Macaca fascicularis: one gene and its partners. The protein of the gene in region 3 purifies or fractionates together with the protein of the main gene of each other region. This does not show direct contact. Links are inferred from orthologs where the notes say so. Each region holds a gene or a part of one and is shown on either strand. Other genes may lie near its edges.

Evidence for each region.
Region 1: the proteins of EXOSC5 (region 3) and C1D purify together in Homo sapiens (affinity purification with mass spectrometry; 4 studies listed by BioGRID and IntAct, counting the BioPlex papers as one, with this or other methods). This does not show direct contact. The link is inferred for Macaca fascicularis from reciprocal best matches to the Homo sapiens genes EXOSC5 and C1D.
Region 2: the proteins of EXOSC5 (region 3) and EXOSC10 purify together in Homo sapiens (co-immunoprecipitation; 8 studies listed by BioGRID and IntAct, with this or other methods). This does not show direct contact. The link is inferred for Macaca fascicularis from reciprocal best matches to the Homo sapiens genes EXOSC5 and EXOSC10.

What each region holds. Positions count from the first base shown.
Region 1 is NC_088387.1:53,857,342-53,861,491, forward strand, and holds the start of C1D (nuclear nucleic acid-binding protein C1D), read left to right. Parts: upstream 1-1,241; 5' UTR 1,242-1,389; coding exon 1,390-1,425; exon of another isoform or gene 1,426-1,573; intron 1,574-4,150. UniProt on the Homo sapiens protein: Plays a role in the recruitment of the RNA exosome complex to pre-rRNA to mediate the 3'-5' end processing of the 5.8S rRNA; this function may include MPHOSPH6.
Region 2 is NC_088375.1:223,727,942-223,731,545, forward strand, and holds part of EXOSC10 (exosome complex component 10), read left to right. Parts: intron 1-1,428; coding exon 1,429-1,513; intron 1,514-2,962; coding exon 2,963-3,036; intron 3,037-3,604. UniProt on the Homo sapiens protein: Catalytic component of the RNA exosome complex which has 3'->5' exoribonuclease activity and participates in a multitude of cellular RNA processing and degradation events.
Region 3 is NC_088393.1:48,530,767-48,534,413, forward strand, and holds part of EXOSC5 (exosome complex component RRP46), read right to left. Parts: intron 1,875-3,647; coding exon 1,734-1,874; intron 19-1,733; coding exon 1-18. UniProt on the Homo sapiens protein: Non-catalytic component of the RNA exosome complex which has 3'->5' exoribonuclease activity and participates in a multitude of cellular RNA processing and degradation events.

The DNA of each region.
Region 1 (4,150 bases), on a different chromosome or scaffold from region 3:
AATGCAGTATTAGGGTGGGAGTGTACTGATTTTCCAGTTATGGTCTATCACGGTTTCCCTTTGCCAGGAAAGGGAATTCCCGGACCCCTTGTGCTTCCCAGGTGAGGTCATGCCCCGCCCTGCTCTGTGGGCTCCACCCACTGTCTGAGAAGCCCTAGTGAGATGAACTTGGTACCTCAGTTGGAAATGCAGAAATCACCTGTCTTCTGCCTCACTCACACTGGGAGCTGCAGATTGGAGCTGTTCCTATTCGGCCATCTTGTGACCTCCCCCAAACTTTAAATATTACATACATGGTGCTTGTTCAAAATGCTTTTACATGCATTTAATATATGGACAACTCAGGCATAAATTTTTATCAAATTACGATCATGGAATGACAAGTTACAAATGTTAAGACAATGCTCAATCGCTTATACTAAACTTTCAACGAACAATATGTACAGTTTCTGTTAATGCCTTTATTTTCTATTATGTTTCTTCTGATTGCATACGTTGAAATGCAATTTTACATTTACTGAAACTAATAATAAAAAATTTGGGCTTGTATTTTGCACATATTTTCCCCATTTTTCTACTAATTCATTTTTACTGTATTATAGAAGTATCTTTTACTGACAGATTGGAAAAACAACCCATTCTTCCCCACGGATAATCTGGGAAGCTGCTCTAAGACGCTGATCTTGAGGCAGACAATAAAAGCGTAGTAACAGTGAGGGCCCTGGAAAAGCTCCCGGGAAAGTAAAAATACAAAGTTTCAGTAACTAAGATTTCTTTCCTGGTTAAATACACTCAACCTGTATTTGGGCTGAGTGTTGGCCGGGTACAAATGTAGACAAAGGTTCCCAGAGTGCCGCCCCAATCCTCTCCCACAACATGGCCCCGAGCTACTCATTTTGAGATTTGCCTTTAGAGAAGAGCGAAGGAGCGGGGGCGTGGCGAGCAGCGTGAGATCATCGGAAAGCGCCCCTCGGCGCGGGCACAGCCGGCGCGTCATTGTCGTCATCGTTGCCCGACCGCTTTCCGGAGACTGTAGTCGAAGGCCCTGAGGTATTTTTCAAAGTTGTACTTTCAGTTTTTCTCCTCCTCCTGTTTAACTCCGCTTTTCCTCTCCTGGGATTCCCCTGTAATCCTCTGGGCAGACTGAGAGAATGGGAGTTTGGCTGCATAGCCTTCCAGGAATGCAGTGTCTCACAGCTCTTCGCTGGGGCAGCATTGCTGCAGGTCCCCCACTTCCGCTTGTTTTGGGGCTGCTTGCAGGCTTTGGCTTACCCCGGCCCCTCATTTCTCTCTCTTGCTCCGGTCTTTCTCTTTTTCTTCGTTTGTTAACCACCCCCTTCTCAACTCTTGGAAGACGAAAAAATTAAAAACAACAACAACAAAAAAAACATGACTTCACAATTTTCAGCTGTCTTCAAATCTTGCGTAAGGAGAGAGGCTAAAGTGGGACGTCTAGGGGAGTCACTTTACTGTGTTAGCTCCGTTTATCATTCACATTCACAGACTGCCTGCCGCTGCAGTATTAGCCCGTCTGAGATAGTGGGCTAATTTCGACCTTTAGCTGAAATCTGTGGTGGGTAATCCAAGAGAGCAGTTTTTCTTGATGACCCGGGAAAGTTCAGTGTAACTAAAACTTGCTTGAAAATACCTTTAATGTCTTCATGTTTGCTGAATACAATTCAGTTTTGGCTTGATACAGACGTATTTGTCGCAATGAGATGTCTGCTATCCACTTATTAACCCATTGGTACTGTCTGATGGTAGACAGAACCAAGACTTAACCGTGATTTTTAAAAAAATTAAATTTAAAATTTTTGTGGTTACATAGTAGGTGTATATATTTATGGGGTACACGAGATGTTTTGATACAGGCAGGCAATGTGTAATAATCACATGGAAAATGGGGCATCCATCCCTTCAGGCACTTACCCTTTGTGTTACAAACAATCCAATTATACTTTTAGTTATTTAACCCTGTATTTTTGATTCAAAATTAACAGATTAGCCCTGTCGAAGTACAGAGAAGTATTTGCGTTTAGTGGAAATGATAGAACTCATTGTTTTGTTGAAAGATAATGATAAGTGTGAATAATGGTTTTTCAAAATAAAACAAAATTCTCAGTCAAAAGATACTACAGCTGCCTTCAGTTAGCTGTGTTGTATGTATCACAGTTCAGAAGTAATGCAATTTTTTTTCTTAACTGCTTTTACCTTTCCAAATGGCTCTTCATATGTATTATCTCAGCTACTGTTTCCAAACAGTTGACCCTTCAAGCATAGCTCTACATAGTCCACAATGGATTAGAGTATTTGATAACTTTCACTTTTGGTAAAATACTATCTAATGTATTGAGGGCTGAGCCAGGCCCTGTTCTGATGGCTTTTATCTATATTATTTATTTAATCTATGCAGCAACCCCATATACTGTTATTTAAGAAATGAGGTGATTGTAATAAGCCACTTCCATATGTTTTGGAAGGTAATTTTGCTGCTTGATTGCTGTAATTTTGGAAATGCTTTGAATTAAACACTGAATAGAAGTAAATTTAATCTAATGTAGTTATTCATCTCAATCTTGAGCAATATCCTCATAATTTATATACTCCTCTATTATTAGACTTCTGGATACATTTATTTTTAGATGTTAATATCTTTTTTAGAAAAGGAAGAAGTCTGTATGTACTCAGGAATTGTACTGTGAGACTGAAGGAGAGTCACAGACAATACTAACATGGAGTCACTGTTTGCCCAAGACAGCAATATTTATTGAGAACTTGTGTGTACATTTCATTGTTATTTTCTCCTGAGATAATGCAGTGCAAAAAAGCCATTCCAGTAATTCATTACGAGTGATAGAATTCTGGTGCAGCAACAGCAAGTGGCTCTCAAGTTCCAAAACACAATCATGTTGGATTTATTCTCAAGCTTAGTTCATAACTGTGTATAATTATTTGGTGTAGAGATGGGAAGAGCCCCAGAACGTACATGATCATATGTTTGTTTGGATCCATGTGGTGACTTTCTATTATCTGTAAGCTCAAACTGTAATCTGATATTAAGAGTTTCCAAAATTAGGTCTTAGGTTACTTTGGTTGGTTTTAGTTAGTTAACAAATAGTTGCTAAATACCTAATACATGACAAGACATTATGTTAGTGATGTGTTCAAAATGTACCTCGACATGAATCTTACCTTGAGGAATAGCCCAGTGAGTAAATAACCAATGGAAAGGTAAGAGCAGAGGAGTGACATGATCTGACTTAGGTTTATTTTATTTTACTTTATGTTTTATTTTGTTTTACTTTACTTTATTGTCTGTTCTTTTGTTTTCTTTTGTTTCCTTTCCTGCCCTGCCCTGCCCCGCCCCGCCCCACCCCACCTCACCCCACCCACTTCTTTTCTTTCGGAGTCTGGCTCTGTTGCCCAGGCTGGAGTGCAGTGGTGCAATCTCAGCTCACTGCAACCTCCGCCTCCTGGGTTCCAACGATTCTCCTGCCTCAGCCTCCTAAGTAGCTGGGATTACAGGCACGTGTCACCACGCCCGGCTAATTTTTTTTGTATTTTTAGTAGAAATGGGGTTTCACCATGTTGGCCAGGCTGGTCTTGAACTTCTGACCTCAGGTGATCTGCCTGTCTTGGCCTCCCAAAGTGCTGGGATTACAGGCGTCAGCCACTGCGCCTGGCCTGACTTAGGTTTTAATAGAATCTTCTGTGGCTTCTGTGTTAAGAATAGTTTGTTGTGGGGTGGGGTACGTGAAAACCATGAGACTAATCATGGAGGTGTTGTAGTTCAGATGAGATGATAACATCTTAATTGGAAAGAAGTGAAGATGGAGAAGCAGTTTAATTTTAGATGTATTTTCTAGGAAAAGCCAATAGAATTGCTTACAGATTGAAAGTGAATTGTAAGAATAAGGTTATTGTCAAAGTTTGGGGCTTGAGCAACTAGAAGAATGAAATTGCCGTTAACTGAGAAATAGAAAACTGTGGGAGGGGCAGGTTTGTGGGAAGATTCGGAGTTCAGTTAAGGAGGTGATAAGTTTGTAATGTCTGTTAGTCATCTAAGCGGAGATGTTGAGTAGGCAGTTAAGTATGTTCATTCCGGACTTCAGAGTGGTCATTGCTGGAAACAGACATTTGAGAGTTGTCA
Region 2 (3,604 bases), on a different chromosome or scaffold from region 3:
AATTATTCAGACCAGGTTTCTGTTGTAGACAAGTCCATCTCATCTGTGAATCCCCTGACAATGAAGGCAAAAGCCCTTTATTTTCTAGCGTTGTTTCTAGGGAAAGGGTCCAGAACTTCAGTGAGATTCTTAAAAGCACTGGGAAACCTTGTAAGAAACAAATCTTCACTTGCGGTTTTTTAATTGAGGTTTAATCTATATGTAGTAAAGTACACAAATATTAAGTATACAGCTTGATGCATTTTTACAGATGTCTGTTACTTTAAGGATCTTAAAGGTGACAGCTTTAATTTTAAAACACTCTATCTTACTTATCTGGCTTGTTTTTACCAGCATTATGAGTAAGGATGAGAACACACCTCCCCTAGACCCCCTTGAGATATTTCCGGGAGCCAGCACGTGAACTATGGTTCGCAGCCTCCTTCTTCCCTGCAGGAAGCCTCTATTCTGATGACATGAGTGACTGGCTCCCTCTGTGTGGCAGCAGAACTCTTGTGTTAGGCAAAACCGACAGGTCCCCTGGCCCTAGCCCTGTCCCTGTCCCTGAGTTAGCTTGCTATTTTTAGAAATGGGGAATCAGGCCGGGCGCAGTGGCTCAAGCCTGTAATCCCAGCACTTTGGGAGGCCGAGACGCGCAGATCACGAGGTCAGGAGATCGAGACCATCCTGGCTAACACGGTGAAACCCCGTCTCTACTAAAAAAACACAAAAAAAACTAGCCGGGCGAGGTGGCGGGCGCCTGTAGTCCCAGCTACTAGGGAGGCTGAGGCAGGAGAATGGCGTAAACCCGGGAGGCGGAGCTTGCAGTGAGCTGAGATCCGGCCACTGCACTCCAGCCTGGGCGACAGAGCCAGACTCCGTCTCAAAAAAAAAAAAAAAAAAAAAAGAAATGGGGAATCAGGTGGGGCTTCTGCCTCCTCTCCTCTTTTCCTCTGATGGGTTGTGGCACATTGAACAACCGCACGTCCCGTGTGTTATGCCCAGTGTCACCTCCATGTGTTGTAACGCCATAGGTCAGTGGGGTGTCATAAGGAAACACAGCAGACTTGTGGAAGCCCAGCCTTGAGTCTGCCTCTGTCATTTACTGACCGTGTTCCTTGGACAAGTTATTTAGTCTCCCCGAGCCTGTTTGCTCATCTCTAAAGAGAGGGTGATGACAGTACCTTTGTCCCAGGGTTACAGAGAGATTGAACGAGATGACGGATGGCCCAGTGCCTGGAGGACAGTAGCACTTTGTCCCCCTTAATAGCGATTTTAGCAATAAAGCCAGCATGAAATTTGTTTTTCATGCCCTTAGATTTGAAACTTATGACTTAGAATGTGTGTACTTCTTAGGTTAACCTGCCCTACATCATCTCATGAAAAGTAAGACAGACTTGGGTGGCTGACTTTGGAGGGTTTTTTTTGTTATATTTGCTTTCATTATAGATCAGCAACCGTTGGAAGCTGGCCCAGGTGCAAGTACAAAAAGACTCTAAAGAAACTGTCAAGAAGAAGGCAGCTGAGCAAACAGGTAGCACTCACTTCCTTGTAACTCAGTCAGCTGTTAAAGGACGGCTGTTGCACATCAGCTGTTTCAGCCACGTGCTGGATACGGCTGTGAATGAAGTAGGCACAGCCCCTGCTCTGTGGGGCTTCCCTTCTGCTGAGGGATGGTGGCCAATCAGTGTCTATCCTGGCAGATGGCAGCAGGTGCTGTGCAGAGAGATGGGTGGGGAGTGCTGGGGGGGTGCTGTAGCTGTCTCGACGGTGGTTGGAGAAGGCAGTCTAATGAATGTGACATTGACGAGACCTGCAGTGAGCTAGAGAAGAGTTCTGGAGCCACAGCACAGCGAGCCCAGAGGCCCTGAGGGTAGTTCACTAGGCATGCTCAGCAGCAGCAAGTGGGCCTGCATGAGCAGAGCGGGTAGAGAAGAGCAGGAAATGGGGAAAGAGCCGGCAGGGGCCCACAGGATGATGCTGCCTTTTACTCTGAGTTCAGAAGCCAGGAGGGTGCTGAGCAGACACAGGGTGGGAAGTGACTGACATGTGGCCCTCTGGCTGCTGTGTCAAGAGCAGACGATAGGTGACAGGATGGGAACCCAGGAAGGGAGAGGAGACATGACAGTGGCCCAGGCAAGAGGGAACAGTGGCCTTGAGACCAGCGTGGGAGCAGAAGAGGTGGCGAGAACCTATCAGAGCCTGGATCTGTCCCGTAGCAAAGCTGACAGCATTTGAGGATGAGGTGGATGTGGCAGGTGAGAGAAAGGAGGGAGTTTTGTTTTTTTTTTTTTGTTTTTTTTGGAGACGGAGTCTGGCTCTGTCGCCCAGGCTGGAGTGCAGTGGCCGGATCTCAGCTCACTGCAAGCTCCGTCTCCCGGGTTCACGCCATTCTCCTGCCTCAGCCTCCCGAGTAGCTGGGACTACAGGCGCCGCCACCTCGCCCAGCTATTTTTTGTATTTCTTAGTAGAGACGGGGTTTCACCGTGTTAGCCAGGATGGTCTCTATCTCCTGACCTCGTGATCCGCCCGTCTCGGCCTCCCAAAGTGCTGGGATTACAGGCTTGAGCCACCGCGCCCGGCCTAAAGGAGGGAGTCTTGGATGAAGATTTTGTCCTGAGCAGCTGGAAAGCTGGAGTTGCTGGCAGCCGAAGTAGCTGGTTTGAGCCAGCTTGTCCACTATGGTGATGGTGATGATCCTGTTAAACGCCCTCAGGTCCACAGGCCACTGAGCATTTGGGTTCACAGGACAGGAGCAGCCAGGGCCAGGGAGAATCAGCTCAAGTGTAGGTGAAGGTGCACAGCGCACCTGAGCCTGAGCCCTCAGGCAGCCTGTCCTGCGGAGATGCGGGACCAGGGAGCTGCGAGGGAGGAGGGATCAGCCATGACAACCCCTGTGGCTAGGCCAAGTCGGAGGAGGATGGAGATGGAGGAGGGTGGTTGCTGGATTCAGCAACTCCAGAGACAGTTCTCTCCCTTGCAGCTGCCCGGGAACAGGCAAAGGAGGCGTGCAAAGCTGCAGCAGAACAGGCCATCTCCGTCCGACAGCAGGTCGCGGTACGTGCCAGCCTTTCTCCTTTTTCCTTTGAAAAACGATGCCCCTCCTTGTGGTCAGGATCTTCCTTGGGTATCTTAGGGGGCTTGCCCTATGCTTTGTATTAAGTCCTGACTTCTTTTCAGTTCACCTCTTTTTTAATTTCTTTTTTTTAAAAAAAAAATAGTGACATGGTCTTACTCTTACCCTGATGCCCAGGCTGAAGTACAGTGGTGCGATTATAGCTCATAGCAGCCTTGTACTCCTGGGCTCAAACGATCCTCCCACCTCAGCCTCCCAAGTAGCTAGGACTACAAGCACGCACCACCATGCCCGGCTACATTTTTTTTCATTTTTCTGTAGAGATAGAGGTCTTGCTATGTTGCCCAGGCTGGTCTCAGACTGCCTAAAGAAGTCCTCCCACCTTGGCCACCCAAAGCACTGGAATTATAGGCATGACCACTGCACCTGGCCTGCTTGCCTTTCTTAAATGACCTCATGTCATTGTCCAGTGAGGAATTGGTTTCAGCTGACCCTGAGTGTTGGTCCGAAGTTCCAGCCATAGCTCCTCTTCCCACCACTGACAGTTCT
Region 3 (3,647 bases):
CCACAGCCAGGTGCTCACCTATCAAGCATGAAGCGCAGTCATTTTTTGTCTACACCACTCCTTCCCTATTTCCCCGGGTATAGCCCTCTGCCTTTCCTTTGTAGAACTGTACTCCATGCCCCTTATTCCAACCACGCGGTTCTGACAGGGGCTTTCAAGCTTAGTATTCCTGCCCCAAGGGGCTAGCCACAGTGCCACTCACTTATCTGGTGCCTCTCGGCCTCCCAGTCACCCTTCCATGCTCTGCCCCACAGGGGCTGGAAGCCAGCAAGCTGTATGTCCCAGACTCCCTTACCAGCTAGTTTCCAGCAGTAATGAGGTGGGAGAATGGAAGAAGAGCAGCACCCTGGTCCTCACTGACAATGGCAGGCGCTGATGGCCGTGGCTGTGTGACAGCCATGGAGGTGGGGTGGGTTCTGGACCTCAGTGGCCAGGGCAGAGGCAGGACATGCTATGTGCATGCAGAACCAATTGAGATGATGTCTCCAACATGACAGAGCAGGAGCTGGCTCACAGGTTCAGCCCAGGTCTGGGAGGGGTTTCTCATCTTTGGGTGTCACTCCTGGTTCCTTTTTCCTCCTCTAGCTCCTCCAACACTGTTGTTACAAAGTCCCTGCATTTAACTCCCTCCATCTGAAACTCTCCAAGTGGTTTCTGTCTTCTTGACTGGAGGGGACCATTATAGCACTGGGCAGAAAACTCAGAATAACCTGAGCTTAGGACACTGCACCTGAGCCAACGAGGAAAGCTCTCTTGTCTTCTTGTTTGCTTTTGAGCCTCTTAAGATGGAAATGGAACGTAAGGGGTCAGTCCCAGCCTCAGGAGAGATGCTGGCCGAGAGAATGAAGCTGACGTGGAGAGAAAGGCAGGGATGGGAAGTGAAGCAAGGACATCCTGATGCTGTTTAAAGTCCTGGTTTTATTTTTTTTTGAGATGGAGTTTCACTCTTTCACCCAGGCTGGAGTGAAGTGGCGCGATCTCAGCTCACTGCAACCTCCACCCTTTGGGTTCAAGTGATTCTCATGCCTCAGCCTCCCGAGTAGCTGGGATTACAGGCACGTGCCACCATGCCAAGCCAACCTTTGTATTTTTAGTAGAGATGGGGTTTCGCCATGTCGGCCAGGCTGGTCTCGAACTCCTGGCCTCAGGTGATCTCCCGCCTCAGACTCCCAAAATGCTGGGATTACAGGTGTAAGCCACCACACCCGGACATACATTTCCTTTCTAGTTTATTTATTTATATTTTGAGATGGAGTTTCACTCTTGTTGCCCAGGCCGGAGTGCAATGGCGCGATCTTGGCTCACCACAACCTCCACCTCCCGGATGCAGGTGATTCTCCTGCCTCAGACTCCTGAGTAGCTGAGATTACAGGCATGCACCACCACACCACACCTGGCTAATTTTGTATTTTTAGTAGAGACGGGGTTTCTCCATGTTGGTCAGGCTGGTCTTGAACTCCTGATCTCAGATGATCTGCCCACCTCGGCCTTCCAAAGTGCTGGGATTACAGGTGTGAGCCACCGCACCCGGCCCCACATTTCCTTTCTAATTAAGCAAGTTTGAGCTGGGTTTCTAGCACTTGCTGCTAAATGAACCACGACGATAAGAGCAGCCCTTGCTAAGTGGGATCGAGGTGGCATGAGCCTATTATCTGCAGAGAAGTGAGGCCTGGAGGAAGGGAGGGGGAGCTGTCTGGCCTCTGCCCTTCAGCCACCCCAATCTTCACACCTACCTTTTCTTGCTTGGATGTAGGATCCAGTACGAGAGTCCCATCAGAGTCTAGGGCGCAGGTGACCCCACAGAAGAGAGCCCGCATGGGCACACCTGCATCCACCAATGCCATGCAGGCGGCATTCAGACAACAGGCCAGGAGCTGAGCACCACAGGCAATGGTTAAGTTTCTTTTTTTTTTTTTTTTTTGGAGATGGAGTTTTGCTCTTGTTGCCCAGCCTGCAGTGCAATGGTGTGATCTCAGCTCACTGCAATCTCCACCTCCCGGGTTCAAGCGATTCTTCTGCCTCAGCCCCCTGAGTAGCTGGGATTACAGGCATGTACCACCACACCCGGCTAATCTTTGTATTCTTAGTAGAGACGGGGTATCACCATGTTGGCCAGGCTGGTCTCAAACTCCTGACCTCAGGTGATCCACCTGCCTCGGCCTCCCAAAGTGCTGGGATTACAGGCATGAGCCACTGTGCCCAGCCTAAGAAGTTTCTACCGTAGGCCTGGCCAGCAGAGCAGATCCATGCCTCCCCCGACCAGGCTGATGCCTGTGGCAGACATCACTAATCGGTCACAGAAGGGCAGTATGGCAAGAGTGCTTAAAAGTGGTCTGGGGATCAAGTAGCCCTGGGTTCCAGACCCAGTTTTGCTCTCTCAGCTGTGTGACTTTGAACAAATGACTTAGAGTCTCAATCTCCTCATCTGTTAGACGGGGAATATAATATTCAACAGGTATGTACTGAAGTACGTACCACACATTTGTTGGCAAGTAGGGTCAGAGAAGGGAAGAAACCTTCCAAAGTCACGTGGGGGAGGCACTGGCAAAGCCAGGCTCAAAACTTGGGTAGCAGCCACTCTGCGGTGACAGAGCTGGCAGGGCAATGGAGGAAGAGCCATCGCGCTGCTGCCTGCAGGGAGCTCAAAGTGGAAAGACAGCACAGGTTGGGAGTCAGCTGGCTCTGCCTCAGTTTCCATGTGTGTCTTCTCCAGGCGGAGCAGGCCACACAAAGGCCACAGCTTTAGAGTCAGCCGGTTCCAGTTCTGCTGCTGATCCTCCACCACTTCCTCTGGGCTTTACTTTCCCCTTCTGTAAAATGGGGTCACAATACTTTCTCTCTCTGCCCATCCATAAAATGTCTATCCAGTTCAGGGTCATGTTCCAGTAAAGCCTTCTACAGTGCCTAATTCTGGTCCTCAACCTCAACCTCCCTCACCTCAGACAGGGAGATCTTTCAAGGCCAAGCTTCTGACTCAGCCGCTGTCTGCTCAGGGCGCCCCCAGCACTGAGGGCCTGAAATCCACTGAGGTGCCGAGTAGAAGTGATTGCCAGCCGGGCACAGTAGCTCACGCCTGTAATCCCAGCACTTTGGGCGGCCAAGGTGGGCTGATCACTTGAGGTCAGGAGTTCGAGACCAGGCTGGTCAACACGGCAAAACCCCATCTCTACTAAAAATACAAAAATTAGCCTGCTGTGATGGCGGGCACCTGTAACTCCAGCTACTCAGGAGGCTAAAGCATGGGAATCGCTTGAGCCCGGGAGGCAGAGGTTGCAGTAAGCTGACACTGCACCACTGCACTCCAGCCTGGGCGACAGAGTGAGCCTGTCTCAAAAACAAACAAACAAAGAAAAAACCAAAAACACAAAAGTGATTGGCACAGGCTCTGGAGTCAGACGGGCCTGGGCTTGAGTCCCGCCTGTGCGGCCTTCCAGTTGTGTGACCTTGGGCAAGCCCCTTCCCCTCTCTGGGCCTCAGTTTTGTCACCTAAAACATGCGAACATAAGAACACTCATCTGCCAGGGTCCTTGGGCTCTAGAACTAGATGGTCTGGGTCTAAGTCTTGGCTTTGCCACTTCCATGGGGATCATTAAGGGCATGTGCTATATTAAATGAGTTAATGTGTGTAAGGCACACAGAACAGTGCC